2 linked regions of the Lonchura striata genome follow. The main gene of each other region encodes a partner of the protein of the gene in region 2 in a complex. Links are inferred from orthologs where the notes say so. Each region holds a gene or a part of one and is shown on either strand. Other genes may lie near its edges.

The links. Proteins that work in one complex are often made in the same cells at the same time.
Region 1: CACNB2 (region 2) and STAC3 share a complex: the UniProt entries of both Homo sapiens proteins name them as parts of the calcium channel complex. The link is inferred for Lonchura striata from reciprocal best matches to the Homo sapiens genes CACNB2 and STAC3.

Annotation. Positions count from the first base shown.
Region 1 is NC_134629.1:5,901,625-5,909,723, forward strand, and holds the start of STAC3 (SH3 and cysteine-rich domain-containing protein 3), read right to left. Parts: upstream 3,042-8,099; 5' UTR 2,902-3,041; intron 2,216-2,901; 5' UTR 2,215-2,215; coding exon 2,149-2,214; intron 1,774-2,148; coding exon 1,512-1,773; intron 957-1,511; coding exon 859-956; intron 698-858; coding exon 622-697; intron 529-621; coding exon 437-528; intron 332-436; coding exon 265-331; intron 60-264; coding exon 10-59; intron 1-9. Other genes in the region: R3HDM2 (R3H domain-containing protein 2), read right to left, coding at 4,873-5,216, 7,216-7,300, 7,399-7,499, 7,590-7,734, 7,873-8,042. UniProt on the Homo sapiens protein: Required for normal excitation-contraction coupling in skeletal muscle and for normal muscle contraction in response to membrane depolarization. Required for normal Ca(2+) release from the sarcplasmic reticulum, which ultimately leads to muscle contraction.
Region 2 is NC_134603.1:137,020,238-137,027,207, forward strand, and holds the start of CACNB2 (voltage-dependent L-type calcium channel subunit beta-2), read left to right. Parts: upstream 1-3,899; 5' UTR 3,900-3,992; coding exon 3,993-4,091; intron 4,092-6,970. UniProt on the Homo sapiens protein: Beta subunit of voltage-dependent calcium channels which contributes to the function of the calcium channel by increasing peak calcium current. Plays a role in shifting voltage dependencies of activation and inactivation of the channel.

The DNA.
Region 1 (8,099 bases), on a different chromosome or scaffold from region 2:
GAGGGGTACCTTGTCATCTGTTGTGCCCTTCTCAGCCTTCTTGTCCCCTTCAGAGGCACCTGGGAACAGGAGGAGGGGTCACGCCTCTCCTGGCGGTGCCTCCCGGGGGTCTCCTCGGCCAAAGTGGGGATGCAGCGAGAGCCCCAGGGTGAGGACATGAATGGAGGACCCTCTTTCCGCAGGGCAACCCCCCTCAAAACACAGCCAGGGGCTCCCTCCGTGTCCGCGTGGGCTCAGCCCCCCAACCCTCGGCCCCGCGCTCACCACCCTCAGCTTTGCTCCCCACCGGCTTCGTGGCCTCTGGCTCCTCGTCCATCATCGCAGCCAAGGGCTGGAAGGCAGAGAGAGCTCTCAGAAGGTGCAGAATTTGGGGGGGGGCTGGAGGGTTCGTGGGGCGCACCGGCAGGAATCCGGTGAGAGCCCGACCCACACTCACGTTCTTCTTGTCCTCCTGCCCCTTCTTGCGCTCCTTGTTGGCCATGATGACGCCCGTCCGCAGCGTCTCGAACACGGGGTCGCTCCTGTTCGCTGCGGGGGCAGGAGAAGGGTCAGGGGGGGACAGGTTGGGGCAGCCCAGGCTGGGTGCCAAGGGGACGGGGCAGCCCAGCACGGGGGTCTCACCGAGCTGCTCCTTGGTGCCGGCGTACTGCTGGTCGCTGTAGAGGGGGGAGCTGTACGCCCGCCGGAACCCGGGCGGCTGCGAGGACCGAGGAGGGGTCGGAGCATCAGCCACCCCCCGGCCCCACCTCTCAGAGCCCGGGGTACCCCGGAGGGAGATGCCGGGGTCCCCCTCAGAGCCAGGGAGTGACAGGGGTGGTGGCACCCGCGTCCTGGCCGCTCCCGGGGGGGGACACTCACGATCTTGCCGAAGCAGCGCTGCATCTCCACGTAGGACTGGCAGTGGTGGTGGATGTTGGTTTTGCAGTTCTTGCACCTCAGGCCAAATTTGTTGTTGACTGGCAGTGGGCGGGGGGGGTGGAAAGGAGAGGGAATGTGACACTGCAGCTGTGAAACGGCCGCGACGGAGCCCTGCGCGGCCTTGGCCCCCAGCCCCAGCCCTGCCCCCAGCCCCCAGCCCTGCCCGTGGCCCCCAGCCCCAGCCCTGCCCTCAGCCCTGCCCGTGGCCCCCAGCCCCAGCCCTGCCCGTGCCCCCCAGACCTACCCGTGCCCCCCAGCCCTGCCCCCAGCCCTGCCCGTGCCCCCCAGCCCTGCCCGTGGCCCCCAGCCCTGCCCGTGCCCCCCAGCCCCAGCCCTGCCCGTGGCCCCCAGCCCTGCCCGTGCCCCCCAGCCCCAGCCCTGTCTGTAGCCCCCAGCCCTGCCCCCAGCCCCCAGCCCCGCCCGTGGCCCCCAGCCCTGCCCGTGCCCCCCAGCCCCAGCCCTGTCTGTAGCCCCCAGCCCTGCCCGTGCCCCCCAGCCCTGCCCGTGACCCCCAGCCCCGCCCGTGACCCCAGACTTGCCTGTAGCCCCCAGCCCCAGCCCTGCCCGTGCCCCCCAGCCCCCTCAGGACTCACGGACGATCATGCGGGCACAAACATCACAGAATTTGGGCTTTTTGAAGTAATGGTCTTTGAACTTGTGGGGTTTGTCATTAACAAGTTTCTCGGGTTCGGGAGGGGGCTCGGGCTCCTCCTCCTCCTCCTCCTCTTCCTCATCCTCATAGATGTAGTAGATGGGTCCCCCCGAGGGGCTGACCAGCTCCCCGTTGGGCTGTGGCTCCGGCGCCGGCTCCTCCTTGGGTTTTCGCTGGAAAAGTTGCTTCAGCTTCTGCAGCTGCTGGGGCGGGAGGGGACGGACGGTGTGTGGCAGCGTGGGGGAGGCAGGAGGGCACACACCCAGCTCCTCGCCCCGGGGACCCCCTCCACGAGCGGGAGGAGACTCCAGGAATGCTCTGGAGATGGGGAGCCTCCTCCCAGCCCCGTGAAGTCTCCACAGAAGAGGAAGCTGCGGTTCCTGAGCCCCTCACGGATGTGGGTGCGCCACAGGGAAATGCCAAGCTGGGAAATGCCCACCCAACACCCGGCTGGATCAGGGTCCCAGCGGGCACCCCAGGCCTCCCACAGCCTCCTGGGCTGCGGCAGGATGATGATGATGATGATAGAGAGGGGGCTTCCCCCGCCCACCCAAACTGCCCTGTGGGCACCCACTTACCCGGCTCTTGGGTTTCCCACCTGAAGCAGGTGAAGCTGGTGGCTCTGGCACTTCCTTCTCCGTCATGCTGCAAGGGGAAGAGCAGAGCTGGAGTTGGCTGGGGCAGTTCCAGCTGCAGGAGCCTGGCAGGGGATGGTCAGACCTTGCTGGGTGGGCAGTGCCACCCCTTCCCCTGCCCGTCCTGCAGCCCCTGTCTCAGCGAGGGTCACTCCCAGCGCCCATCCCAGCCCTGCCCCGTTCTGGTTCTGCCTCGGTGAGCCCCAGGGCCAGGCCGGTGCCCGGCCCAGAGCGTGGCACATCCGCTGGCTCAGGGACGTGGTGCCAAGTGCTGTGAGCCAGCCCCTGGGCTACCTGCAGGTGCCCACCTCAGCCCGGACATCTCCATCTCACCGTGAAACCACAAACTCGGCCCCTCAGACGAGCACACGGGGGGCACCGACGGGCACTGACGGCTTTCGGCTGCCACCGGGGCAGGACCTGCTCCTGCATCCCCCAAACCATCCCGGTGCCACCTCCGACAGCCTCTCCGCAGTGCTTCCACCCAGACCTCCCTCTTTTTGGCGATGCCCACCCCTCAAGCCCCTCCAGCCCCCCGTGGAAAGCAGCCAGGAAAACCATCAGGAAGCAACAAAGGGGCACGGGGAGCGCCGGGGCGAGGGGCGCTGCGGGAATGGGGCACCCCGAGGCCCCGCAGCAGCGGGGGAGCTCCGGGCGGGCACGGCCACGGCAAGAGCGGGCACAGGGGGCACTTACCCTGCGCTTGGCGGTCTCGCCCTGCGCTGAAGGAGCCCCCGAAGGGCGGCCGGTGCCGGAGCCGCGTTGGCCGCAGAGCCCCCGGGCCTCGGTGGCGGGCGGCAGCCGCGCCGGTCCCGGGCCGAGCGGAGTGACAGGGCAGAGGGGGACGACAGCTGAGCGGTGGCGGGGCTGACGCCGGGAAATTGGAGCCCCGGCGGGAGCAGGCGGAGGAGCCACCGGCTATTTGCGTTGGTGGGTTGCTGGGCGTGCCAGGGGCCCCCCCAGCCTGGCCTGGGACAAAGAAGGAAGCGGGCACAGCCAGGGCTCGGGGAGCTGGGCACAGCCAGGGCTCCGGGAGCTGGGCACAGCCAGGGCTCCGGGAGCTGGGCACACCGAGGGCTCTGGGAGTTGGGCACACCGAGGGCTCCGGGAGCTGGGCACACCGAGGGCTCCGGGAGTTGGGCACACCGAGGGCTCCGGGAGCTGGGCACACCGAGGGCTCGGGGAGCTGGGCACACCGAGGGCTCCGGGAGCTGGGCACACCGAGGGCTCTGGGAGTTGGGCACACCGAGGGCTCCGGGAGCTGGGCACAGCCAGGGCTCCGGGAGCTGGGCACAGCCAGGGCTCCGGGAGCTGGGCACACCGAGGGCTCGGGGAGCTGGGCACACCGAGGGCTCCGGGAGCTGGGCACACCGAGGGCTCGGGGAGCTGGGCACACTGAGGGCTCCGGGAGCTGGGCACACCGAGGGCTCCGGGAGTTGGGCACACCGAGGGCTCCGGGAGTTGGGCACGCCGAGGGCTCCGGGAGCTGGGCACGCCGAGGGCTCCGGGAACTGGGCACAGCCAGGGCTCCGGGAGCTGGGCACACCGAGGGCTCGGGGAGCTGGGCACAGCCAGGGCTCCGGGAGCTGGGCACACCGAGGGCTCCAGCTTCAGCATCTCCTTCCCTCGTGCATTGGAAGCTGCTGCGGGTTCAGCGGCAGAGGGGCAGCAGTGGGGTCTGGCACGGGGTGGAGTGGCTGCTTCACACCCCCTGGCACCAAATCCTGCTGGTCCAGGCTCCGCTGGGATGGCAGGAGCTGGGATCCCACCCTGAAGTTAATGGGCACCCTGAGGTCCCTGCCTGGCTGTGGGTGGCAGCGAGGTGGGAGCTGGAACCAGCCTGGGCTTGGAGCCCCCCCTTTTCCTGGCAGCTCTCACCTGCCCAGGAAGGTTGGGAGCATCCTGCTACTGCCAGAGGCTCTGGCTGTGCCACCCCAAATCCTGCCCCCACCTGCACCTGGCAGCTCCAGGTGCTGCTCCTGTCCGCAGGAATGTGATGTTTCCTGGCAGGACACACAGCTGGGGCCACGCCATGCCCTCGTTCCTGCCCTGGAATTCCACAGCTGGATGGAGAGGCCATGAACATCTGGCAGGGGAGTCCAGCCCCAGTCCAAACGCTCTGATCCCAGCCTGGGATCCCCATTTTGGCACACCAGGGGCTTGCAGCCCTCGGACACGCCAAGCTCGGGCAGGACTGGGCAGGATCATCCCCCTGCCAGTTCAGCTGTCCCCTCACCCCGCTGAGGCAGCACAGAGTCCCCAACCCTGGCACTGGCAGAGAATGGGAAGTTACATTCAAGTGATGGACAATTTTCCTTTTTTTCTTTTTTTATTTAAAAACAACCCCCCCAAATAAAATAAAACAAAAAAATTTCTCCCCACCCCCCCCCCACCCCACAAAATAATAATCCGATTAAATAAAATGTGCAGTGAACATACCAATCAACACCTGTATGTGCGGTCCAACACAGTGCTTAAACAAAACCATAGACACAGGGGAGGGGGGCGGGCACGGGCGTCACTCCAAAAAATAATAATTAAAAAAAAAAAAAATCAACTTCTTGTCTCTTAATTATGTTCATATAAATATATCAAGGAAGGAGGGCGAGAGGAAGGGAGGGCGGGAGGAGAAGAGGCCCAGGGGAGTGCCCGGTGCCCACGGGAGCCCTACTGGGAGCTGGCCCGCTCCAGCACCCGCAGGTCGTAGTTCTTTTTGGCCACGCGCAGTTTGAAGCGGCTGAGGGAGTTGTTGAGGCGCAGGGAGGCGTTTTGGGCAGCCAGCGGGCTGGGGAACACGGCCACGATGGTGTATAAGGCAGCGAGGTCACTGTGCCTGCCGTTCTCCGGAGTCCCACTGTTGTCCCCGCCGCCGCCGTCCCCGCGCCGCCCCTGAGTCTCTTTGAGCCACTGGATTTTGGCACCGGCCATGGCGAGCTGCGTGAAGAGCTTGTCGGCCTCTGTCCGTGTGATGCCCTCGGGCAGGTCCGTCACCTCCAGCACCCGGCCCAGCACTGCAGGGAAGGAGCTGCGTGTCACCGGCCAGGTCCCAATGTCCCCAGCCAGGTCCCGGTGTCACCGGCCAGGTCCCGGTGTCAATGGCCAGGCCCTGGTGTCACCAGCCAGGTCCCAGTGTCACTGGCCAGGCCCTGATGTCACCGGCCAGGTCCCGGTGTCACCGGCCAGGTCCCGCTGTCCCCAGCCAGGTCCCGGTGTCACCGGCCAGGTCCCGCTGTCCCCAGCACCCTCCTGGCCTCTCCTGGGTCCGGGACACCGTGCAGTGCCCAGCTGCCCCCAGAGCAGGATCTGCTTTTGAAGCCCCCCAGAGCCCCCCTGCCCGCAGTGCCCCAGCCCAATCCCCGTGCCCACCGTGCTGGCTTTGCTGCAGGGGAGGTGTGGGTGTCCCCCAGTGTCCCCCAGCTGCAGGGACACCAAGCCCCCCTGGCACCCTTGGGACAGCTGGGCACCTCAGGCTCTCCCAGGGGCTCTGCCTGGTTTTCCTACCCCAAACCTCAGACCCCAGGACTGGGAGCCAACCCCAGTGGCCCATCCCAGAGTTGGGAGCTCCCAACTCTGACTCTGGGAGGGAGAATGGCTGCACCCACAGAGGATGGTGGCACTGGGTGTGTCCTGCCTGGTGGTCCCCAAACCCCTCTGAAGCTCCAGACCCTGCCCTGTGGTTCCCAAATCCCTCTCAGCTCCTGGCTCTCTCCTATCCCTGCCATGTGGTGCCCAAACCCCTCAGCAGTTCCTGACCCCATCCTGTGGTGCCCAAATCCCTCTTCTGCAGCTCTTGGCTCTCCCCTATCCCTGCCCTGTGGTGCCCAAATCCCTGTGCAGTTCCCTCTCCCTGCCCTGTGGCTCCCAAATCCCTGTGCAGCTCCCGGCTCTCTCCTATCCCTGCCCTGTGGTGTCCAAACCCCTCAGCAGTTCCTGACCCCTGTCCTGTGGTGCCCAAATCCCTCTGCAGCCCCTGGTTCCTCCCTATCCCTGCCCTGTGGCTCCCAAATCCCTGTGCAGCTCCAGCCCCTGCCCTGTGGTTCCCAGATCCCTGTACAGATCCCAGCTCTCTCCTATCCCTGCCCTGTGGTGCCCAAATCCCTCTGCAGCCCCTGGTTCCTCCCTATCCCTGCTCTGTGGTTCCCAAATCCCTCTGCAGCTCCAGCCCCTGCCCTGTGGTGCCTAAATCCCTGCAGTTCCCTCTCCCTGCCCTGTGGTGCCCAAACCCCTGCGCAGCTCCTGGCTGCAGCCCTGGCTCTGGGCTTAGCAGAGCTGCTGCAGGGATTCTTTGCTAATATTAACGTGGCACGTAGGGACCATGCCAGGGGCAGGAGGGGGCAGGCAGTTCTTAAAGAGCCCCTGCAAGCAGCTGCTGCTGGTGGCACCGAGGTGACACTGGGGACAAGCCTGAGGTCCCCAGAGGGTCACCGAGGGCTGCTCCATCCAAGCTGGGCGTCCCTCCCTTCCCAAGGACCCGGTGGAGACAACTCTGGACATGGGTGGGAAGGATTCACCAGAACCCTCAGCCCTCGCAGCCAGCCTGGGAGAGCCCAAATCTCAGAGATGAGGCTCTGAAGCTGCAGGCCCCATGGGAAAGGGAAGCATGGGTGGGAAGAGGGACTTGGGAAAGCAGTGGTGGGAATGAGATCTCAGAGTCTGGACACTCACTTTCTGCTGAGGAGGAATAAAATCTCAGCTCTGCCAGCGCCATCATTTCCAGCCTCTGAGAGGCAGGAATAGCTCCCAGGTGTCTTCCTCAGGGATTTTACTCCCTGTTCACCCACCTCCCTCAGGGCACAGCGGCCTGGGGCTGGATCTGCTGCACCCCCAGCCTGGACTCACCCGGGCTGGGAGGTGTTTGTGGGTGTGGGGAGAAGGGACAGGCAGGAACCACTCTCCAAAACCAGCACAGGGTTCTGCAGGATGCTGGCGTGGACAGGGACGGCACCTGGAGTCTCCAACATCCATTTGTGGGGACATCAGAGGGCAAAGAGGCTCGAGGGGGACACTTGCCTACGTCACTTGTCCCCAGGTCGGTGGACGCTGACTTCAGGGCCTGTCTCTTGCTCCGGTTGCCGTGTTTCATTCCAGTCTGCCCCTTGGAGGAGAAGAAGGGCACCGTGTCACCTCAGGGGACACTGTGGCTTCACGGTGCCCACACAGGGGCTGGGGAAGGGAGGTCTGGCCATACTTTACCTGGTGTCCTGTGTAGCTGGGCTGGTTGTGGAGCAGCGGCGGGGGACACAGGGACAGGTTGTACTGCAGAGGTTGGCCCAGCAGTGAGTACCTCCCATCGCCTGCACAGGGAAGCTGAGTTTGTGGGGATCCCAGGAAACATCACGGCATTCCCAGCCCTGGGCTGTGCCCTCAGGCCTTCTTCCCCTTACCTTGTGCCGGGCCCATGGGCCGGGGGAACTGCGTGAGGACGGGGAGGGGGCTCAGCCCCGTGCACACACTGTTGAGGTTGGTGACGGGCGACGGCGTCGGGGACTGGGTGGGGGACGTGATGGGGCTGTTCAGCTGGGTGCTGGCCTGGGGGAGGGACAGTGTCAGACACCCCAAATGCTTGTGACCGCTCCCATGCCCACCCTGACCCCGCGGGGTGACCCCCCAGCCATCACCCCCAAGGCTGAGCTGCCTCCTCCCGGTCCCTCCCAGTCCTCCCAGTACCTGAGCACTGGTGTCGGGGTTGTAGAGGTCTCCTGGCTTCTGCCCCCGCTGCTCCAGGCTGTAGTACTTACAGTGGCTCCACTGCACCACGGGGGGGTTTTGGGGGGCCTGGGGGCCGTTGGGGACATTCAGCTGCATCACCACCACACCAGGGCCTGACGGGGACACCCCTGGGGACAGACACAGATGTGTATGGCCCACGCTCTGCTGCTGTGGGACACCTGCCT
Region 2 (6,970 bases):
AAAAAATCAACTGAAACCAGCAACTTCTGCAGAAGTGCTTAATCAAACATGAACTTTGTGTACAACCCATCGACAGAAAATTTGCCTCTCACAAAGTGAACAGCTTGTGAGAGGGAGCGTGCCTTTTTTGGTCACGTTTTGCAAAGGGCTGAAAATATGTGCTTAGTAGGTGTTGTGGCTTTTTCAAGTATTGTGAGCCTTTCTGTGTTTTAAGAGCATTTTTACCAGTGTTTATATACTGCTCCTATCTTCCGTCATATGGAAACCCTCCTCCTTCCAATCCTGTCTTCTCCTGAACACATTGTAATAGTATCAGTCAAGGCTGTCTTAGGTGCATGGCACTTATATCCAAGAATACAACATAATAAACACGAGCTGGGAGAATGGATCAGTTCATTAAATCCAGCCAGGTGATGTGCTCTGATACAGACTGATAACGGATTCAAAAGTGAGCCCGTCTGGAGTGGCTTTGTTCAGACTTGTGTGAAAGATAAAGTACTAAAATAAGAGGAATCCCTTTAACTTGCACTTGCGACAGGCAGCTTCCAGTTTATCACCGAAAAAGATTAACCGTATCTGTTTTGAGATATTAAAACTGTGTAATCAAGTGAATTCTTTTTTTACAATATTGAATTTCTGGCTACAATTCATTTTAGGCAGGAGGTGGCACAGACTAATAGACAGCCAGCATTTCTTTTTAACTGAAAGACCTAGAGAAATTCTCTATATCAGGGCTTTAAATATATGCTCAGTTAAAAGCATTTTATATAGTTTCATAAAAATAATTTATTGTAAGCTCACTGGTTTGTATTTGTGCAAGTTTTTAAAGAAATCCCTTGGGTCTAAGTTACTAGCTTTTAGCTGCATTTGCACAAATATCAGCCAAACTTCCTTGGCCTATTTTTTGTACATTTAGGTGATAGTTATAGGCTAAACCAAACATGTACCTGCCATACATGGGTACAAAGGTTAGAACATGGTGCTGACACCACATTCTTATACTGATGGTAAAGAACAATTAAATATGCACAGTAATACAGTCCTCCTTGCTTTACAAGAACATCTAAACTCTCATGCAAAAAAAAAAATCCAGCTATTTTTGGCACCCAAATCAGGTTGTTTGTCAGCCTAAGCTTTTGGGATTGTTTTTTTAAAGAAAGAAAAAGGGCCTATGAACAAAACAGCCTGTGTTTTCTTCTGGTTTTCTAACATTTACATGTTTATAAAAATCCAAATAAGCATGCACAACACCTCTTCGTTGCAGATAAAAGTGTAAATAAATGCAGCAGGGTGGTTTTCTGCTGAGAAGGGGTTAGGCATACCAGGTTGCTTTTTCTCTTGAGAAAAAGCAAGCAATTTAGAATCTCTGCACATTGTTTTTACACATTGACCCTTCTCCTGGAGCAGAGGTGGCCAAAAACAGCATGCAGAAGGATGACTGTATGCATATGTGTTCAGCTGAAGGACTTTCACTGCACATTTCAAGGTTAGAGAACTTGGATTAACTGCTAAACAGAAGGGGTGAAACAGAATAAAATACAGTTATTTTTCTATGCTAATCTTCTAGCCACTCATTACATCAAGACAATGAATAATTGCTGCTAAAGAACAGTTATGTAGAATATTTTTCCTCAGAAAGAAAAACCAAATAAACTTACTAAAAATTCAGATGTTATTTGTGTGTGTGTGAGGTGAAACTTCTTTCCTGAGTCTTTTCTTTCTACAGAACCTCTATGTATGTACATAAACAAGCAAAATCATTACCATTATTTTTTTATAATGGAAAGGAAAAAAAAGACAAACTAATCATAAAAGACATGATTGAGCATACAAAAAATGAACTTCAACTGACATATTCAAGCTTTAATTTATAGGAGAGTAGAAATACTCTTTCAATCCAGATTCACAATTTATGGTTTTAGAAACTGTAATATTTAAAAAATAATCACTACTACTCTTACAGAAGGGTGGTATACTTAAAAAATGCTCCTGTTTATACACTCTTTACAAAGTGAAAATCCAGAAGGCAACATGAAGGGCCACTGTTACATGATTAAGTGACTTCCACTACCTTCTCTGTGTGAGAAAGAGCAGGCAATCCCTGACAGATGCCTGAAAATCTACCAAGTAAATGTACTGAATCATGGTGGATCGTCAAGTACCTTTCCTAGAGTGTCTTGATACAGAAGGATAAATTGTTCCAAAGCCATAAAGGTGCTAGAAATTCAAAGACAACATCTTCCAATAACAATACACCACCTAGCAATCATTAACACGAATACTGTGTTTAGGCTTTTCAGTAAATTCCTTTATAATGAGTAAAATTACAAAATTAGTAAATTACAAAAAGTAATTAAATTTAAACAATCTAATTTGTAAGTGTCAAAGAAATAACTACTTCAAAGCCTCTACTAGATGGTGAAGTATGAATTTTTCACACCAAATATCTAAAAATAAAATATCTTTTTGGTTATAACCACCTGAAGAACATCTGGAAGCAGTCCAGACTCCAGCATCTTTATAGTTTCAAGATTGTTGAACATGTCTATTGCGTTACTTGAAAGAAAGTTAAGCAATAAACCCCACAATTTTCACTTTAAATTAAGGTTGTGTTTTTTCATGGACAACACGCTAAAATTCTAGAAAATAATTTTGAAATATTGTCTTCAAAAATAAATATGGAACTTTATGGACAAGTGAAAGTTCTTCAAACGTCAGAGCACTTCCTCTTGCAGACAAAGCTAATTCTTCACAAAAAAAATGGGCAGTTCCTGTAAGATTTTCACTATTCATATAAGAAAATCCATAGGGGTAAACTAATTCAGAAAGGAAGCTTATTAGCTATTATGAAAAATGAAATAAATCAACCATGCAATCTGGCTAAAGCTTGAAAGTACTTTTTGAAATTGATCTGGCTTTTGTGCTGGCTTTGGTTTGCTGGCTTCTTTTCCTGAAAGTGACTTTTATTACTTTTAGTAATGGTTGTGATTTTAATTGTGTGACCAGGCCAGTCAGTTTCTAGACTTAGTTTTCACTGTTTACAATCAGCTGATAGGATATTTCACAAACCATCACATAGTGAGTCTGAAAACACAAGTTTCCCTTTCATGCTGCATGGGGCACAGCTAGGTCCCATCCAGTGGAAGAAAGGTATCAGTCCATTGTGGACTTCATAAGGTCAGAGAGTTTGGTCTCTATAAGGACCAAAATGATCTCTCATTCACAAGAAATGAAAGATCATCTCAGCGGTGGAGGGTGATTTTGCCGGATCAGGTTTCAAACAGGTGTTTCAAGCGCCTCCTGTGGGGTACCTGATAGCACGATTGAGATCGTACACTCACAGGTTATATAAAATTCGACAGCGGATTTCATCGTACTCATCTCTTGTTGATATGTGCATAGGAACCTCCAAAAAGCCCTGTCAACACAAGAGACCTATGGAACTTTGTCGAAGCGCCGGTTCGCTCGCTAACAGCACAGGTCTAAGCCGATGCGCGCTGAGGCAGGCGATGCCGCGCGGCCAGGCTGAGACGCCGGGCAGGGCTGAAGGGAAAAGCAGGGCCTGATGCCCCCCGGCCCGCCGGCCACAGCCCCAACTTCGCTGCTCGCCGCTCGGCCGCGCTCGGGCTGGGCCGCGCGGATGCGGCGCCGCCCCGCCCGGCGCCGCCGGAGGGAGATGCTCGCTGTCACTTTCCCTCTTCCCCACGCACCGCCCCCTGCCCTCCCCCGCGCCGCCGCCGGCGCTGCCCCGTCCGCGGCGCCGAGCGCTCCCCGCCGGCAGCGGGCAGGGCAGGGCGGAGCGGAGCGGAGCGGAGCGGAGCGGAGCCGGGCAGGGCAGGGCAGGGCCGGGCCGCCCGCCGCTCCTCGGCATGGCCGGGCGCTGAGCGGCGCCCGCCGCCCCGGCTCGCCTCGCCTCGCCTCGGCTCGGCTCGGCTCAGCACGGCTCTGTCCCGCCGAGAGGCTCGGCGCCCAGCCACCCGCTCTCCTCGCCAATGGTCCAGAGCGACATGTCCAAATCGCCTCCCAGCCCGGCGCAGGAGGTGCAGATGGAGCTGCTGGACAACCCCCTGCCCGCGGCGGCGGCAGCGCAGGTACGGCGGGGCTCGGCCGGGCTGCGGCGGCGCGGGCGGGGGCGCGGGCAGGGCCCGGAGCGGCCCGTCCTTCAACTTCGGGCACCGCCGGCAGAAAAGTTTGACGGCTCCCCTAAGGCGCCCGAAACCCCTGTCTTCGCCCCCACTCTCAAAAGCCGTTTAATTAGCACACATAGGATGCTCTGTGCCATAGAAGCATCGTAAATCAAAAGAACCTTGCGATTATTTGGAGGATGAGTATGTAAGAATACATTGCTTTTAAGCTGATCTTCCGCACGTGTACTGCAGGGTACGGCTATTTTTCCCTGCTCCAGTAACCTGTTGTATTTGTACCTGATGCTTACCACGCACGGCTGAACCTCCCTCGTCTGCTGCACGGGCTGGTGACAGTCTGTAGGTGAGAGAAGGCGATTCACGCCAGTTGTTCAGCAGGAATTTTGGGGAGGCTGAAGGTGTTGAACATGCTGCAGATTTAAGCTGCTCGATTTTCATGCAGAAGGTGGTTGTGCAGTCGTCTCAGAAATTTTAACAACTCAGTTCATTTGCAGTGTTCGGGTGGATGGGTGATGAGAAGGAGGTAGGGTAAGGCTTACTTAGACAAGACTTCATATTTTGAAAGGTTGTTTCTGTTTAATGTATGAATGTTGCTTAGTATCTTCAAGTTTGCAATAGTTGGTTACAAAGACTTCAGAGTGCTGTTTTTGAACCCATAAAAGGGTGGTAAAATCTGATTGTGTCAATTTCAGATTTCAATTATGCATTATCTTCTTAGGACAGAGGTTTTTTCCTTTTTGGGGTGCGGTTTTTACTGTTGCTGCCAAAGCTGTCTCTGATGCTTTGTTTGAGAAGGTGGACCAGCTCCATCCCAGTAGTTCTTGATTGACAGAGAAAAATGCCATCAGTCTGTCAACAGTCGTGGTGATTGATCTTTACATACTCAGGCCTGGTGACAGCAGAACAAAATCCAGGCACTAAGGCAGAGAGGAGGTTAAACTAAAAAAGAGAAAGTGTCTCTTTGGATGTCAGTAGCCTCCAAGCACAGAACAGACATTTCAGGAGGGCCATATGCTTTGCCAGCTTCTCCAGAAACAGTGGCAATGGAGCTAATTTTTGACCTACAAATCCCCCCTTTTTATGTCTGTATAGCCCTAAGCACAGATTCAGCAACTTTCAAATCATACGGTATCTCTCTGCTGTGGACAAATGTCAAATACCAATCATAAAATTGATTTCTCAACCTCCTTTAAGCTAGGGTTGAAAAACCTCTCTTTAGAGAGGAAGAATAGTTTGCTAACACCCACGTTATTTATGTTTCAGGTAATGCATTTATATTCTGTTTTATAAAACAGGTTTCTGAACACTCACAGCCAAAAAGATTCACTTTTTGAGACAGTGATAATGCACCTTTTTAGTTCAGGGATGTTTTTCAGGTTTTGGAATCAAAGTCATCAGGCAGATCAGGAATCATCTTCTCACTATGTACTTGTTTTAGTCATACATAAACCCTTGGTAGAGAGGAAATAAAGTTATGGAAACAAAAGGGCCTTTTGTCTGAATAATACTGCAAGTTAATTTCTTGGCAAGTGCTGCATTTAGAGGCAATTATTTTGATTTGAATTTTTGTTCCATGAACATTTAAAAAACCCCAATATTGTAAAATCTTGCTGCTTTAGAACACACTCACAGTGAGAAGGAGAGGCTTAATGAGGACATGTGAATCATCAAGTAGATTGCCTACAGGTACTTCAGATATGTGTACCACTGTCTTTTTCTCTAAGGTAGTTGAATATCAATCCTAGAAACATTTCTGCCAAATAATCTGTCAGGGGAAAAAAACCCAAACCAGCATGTGAACTTATGGAGTGATGTCACTCCTAAAAGTGTTCACTCTGAAGTGCTTCTTCTGGGAATTATGATTTAAGAAAATATTATTGACAGCCTTTGTAGAGTTGTACCAAGTCACAACAACTCTCTTATCCAAAATTTTACTTTTGCAAAGCTGATATTTCTTTTAATCTATCTTAACATCATGGTCAGTATTTTGGATTGTGCCTGTCCGTCCATTTTGGCCAAACTTGTCACCATGGGGCAGAGGCATGAAATGTAGTTAACACTCTAGAAGTAGTTCACTTAAAAGGCAGTTAAATATGTGAAATATTCCTAGATAACATCTGTGGAAAGTCTATTTCTTATTTTCATAATGCATTTTCCTAACAAGATCTGCAAACAAAAGAAAATCTCTCTGGGTGTTGGTCATGACAGTTATACTGTATTTTTCCAGGGAAGTTCTTTGCAACTGGGACGAAATATTGGTGTTTTTTTCTTGTATTAACTAAAATTCTATGGCTTTTAGGTCCATATGATTGTAAAAACATAGTTCTAGTTCTAGTTCAGTGTGATCTTAGTCCCAGTTGTATCTTGGTCTTAGATGGATTTGCAGTAGAGTTTCAGATGTCCAGTTTTATCCAGACAAATCTGCATGCTGACCAGTTACACTGTGGACTTATTCACAATGTCTAGATATATGTCAGTACAAACTGGTGGTTTTAGGTGTGGCCCTTTTGTAATGAAATCAGCATTAGGTTTTCTGAAAGAAAAGAAGCAAACTCTTCAAATGTACCAGTGTTTGGTGATCAGTTTTTTGGTGTATTTTTTTTAAATCAACCACAGTCTTCTCTTTAGTTCCTTATTTAAAGAACCCCTATTTTCAGGAATCTGAATTAGTAGAATATTAATTTTAATAATTTTAATTAACCCAGGTACTACTATGATTTGTTTATAATATACCATAACACATTAATGCCTTTCATGGTAACTCTTAGCCTCTCTTTTCTCTTGCTCCCATGTAATTTTCTTATGATCCTTCTTCAAAGTCCCTC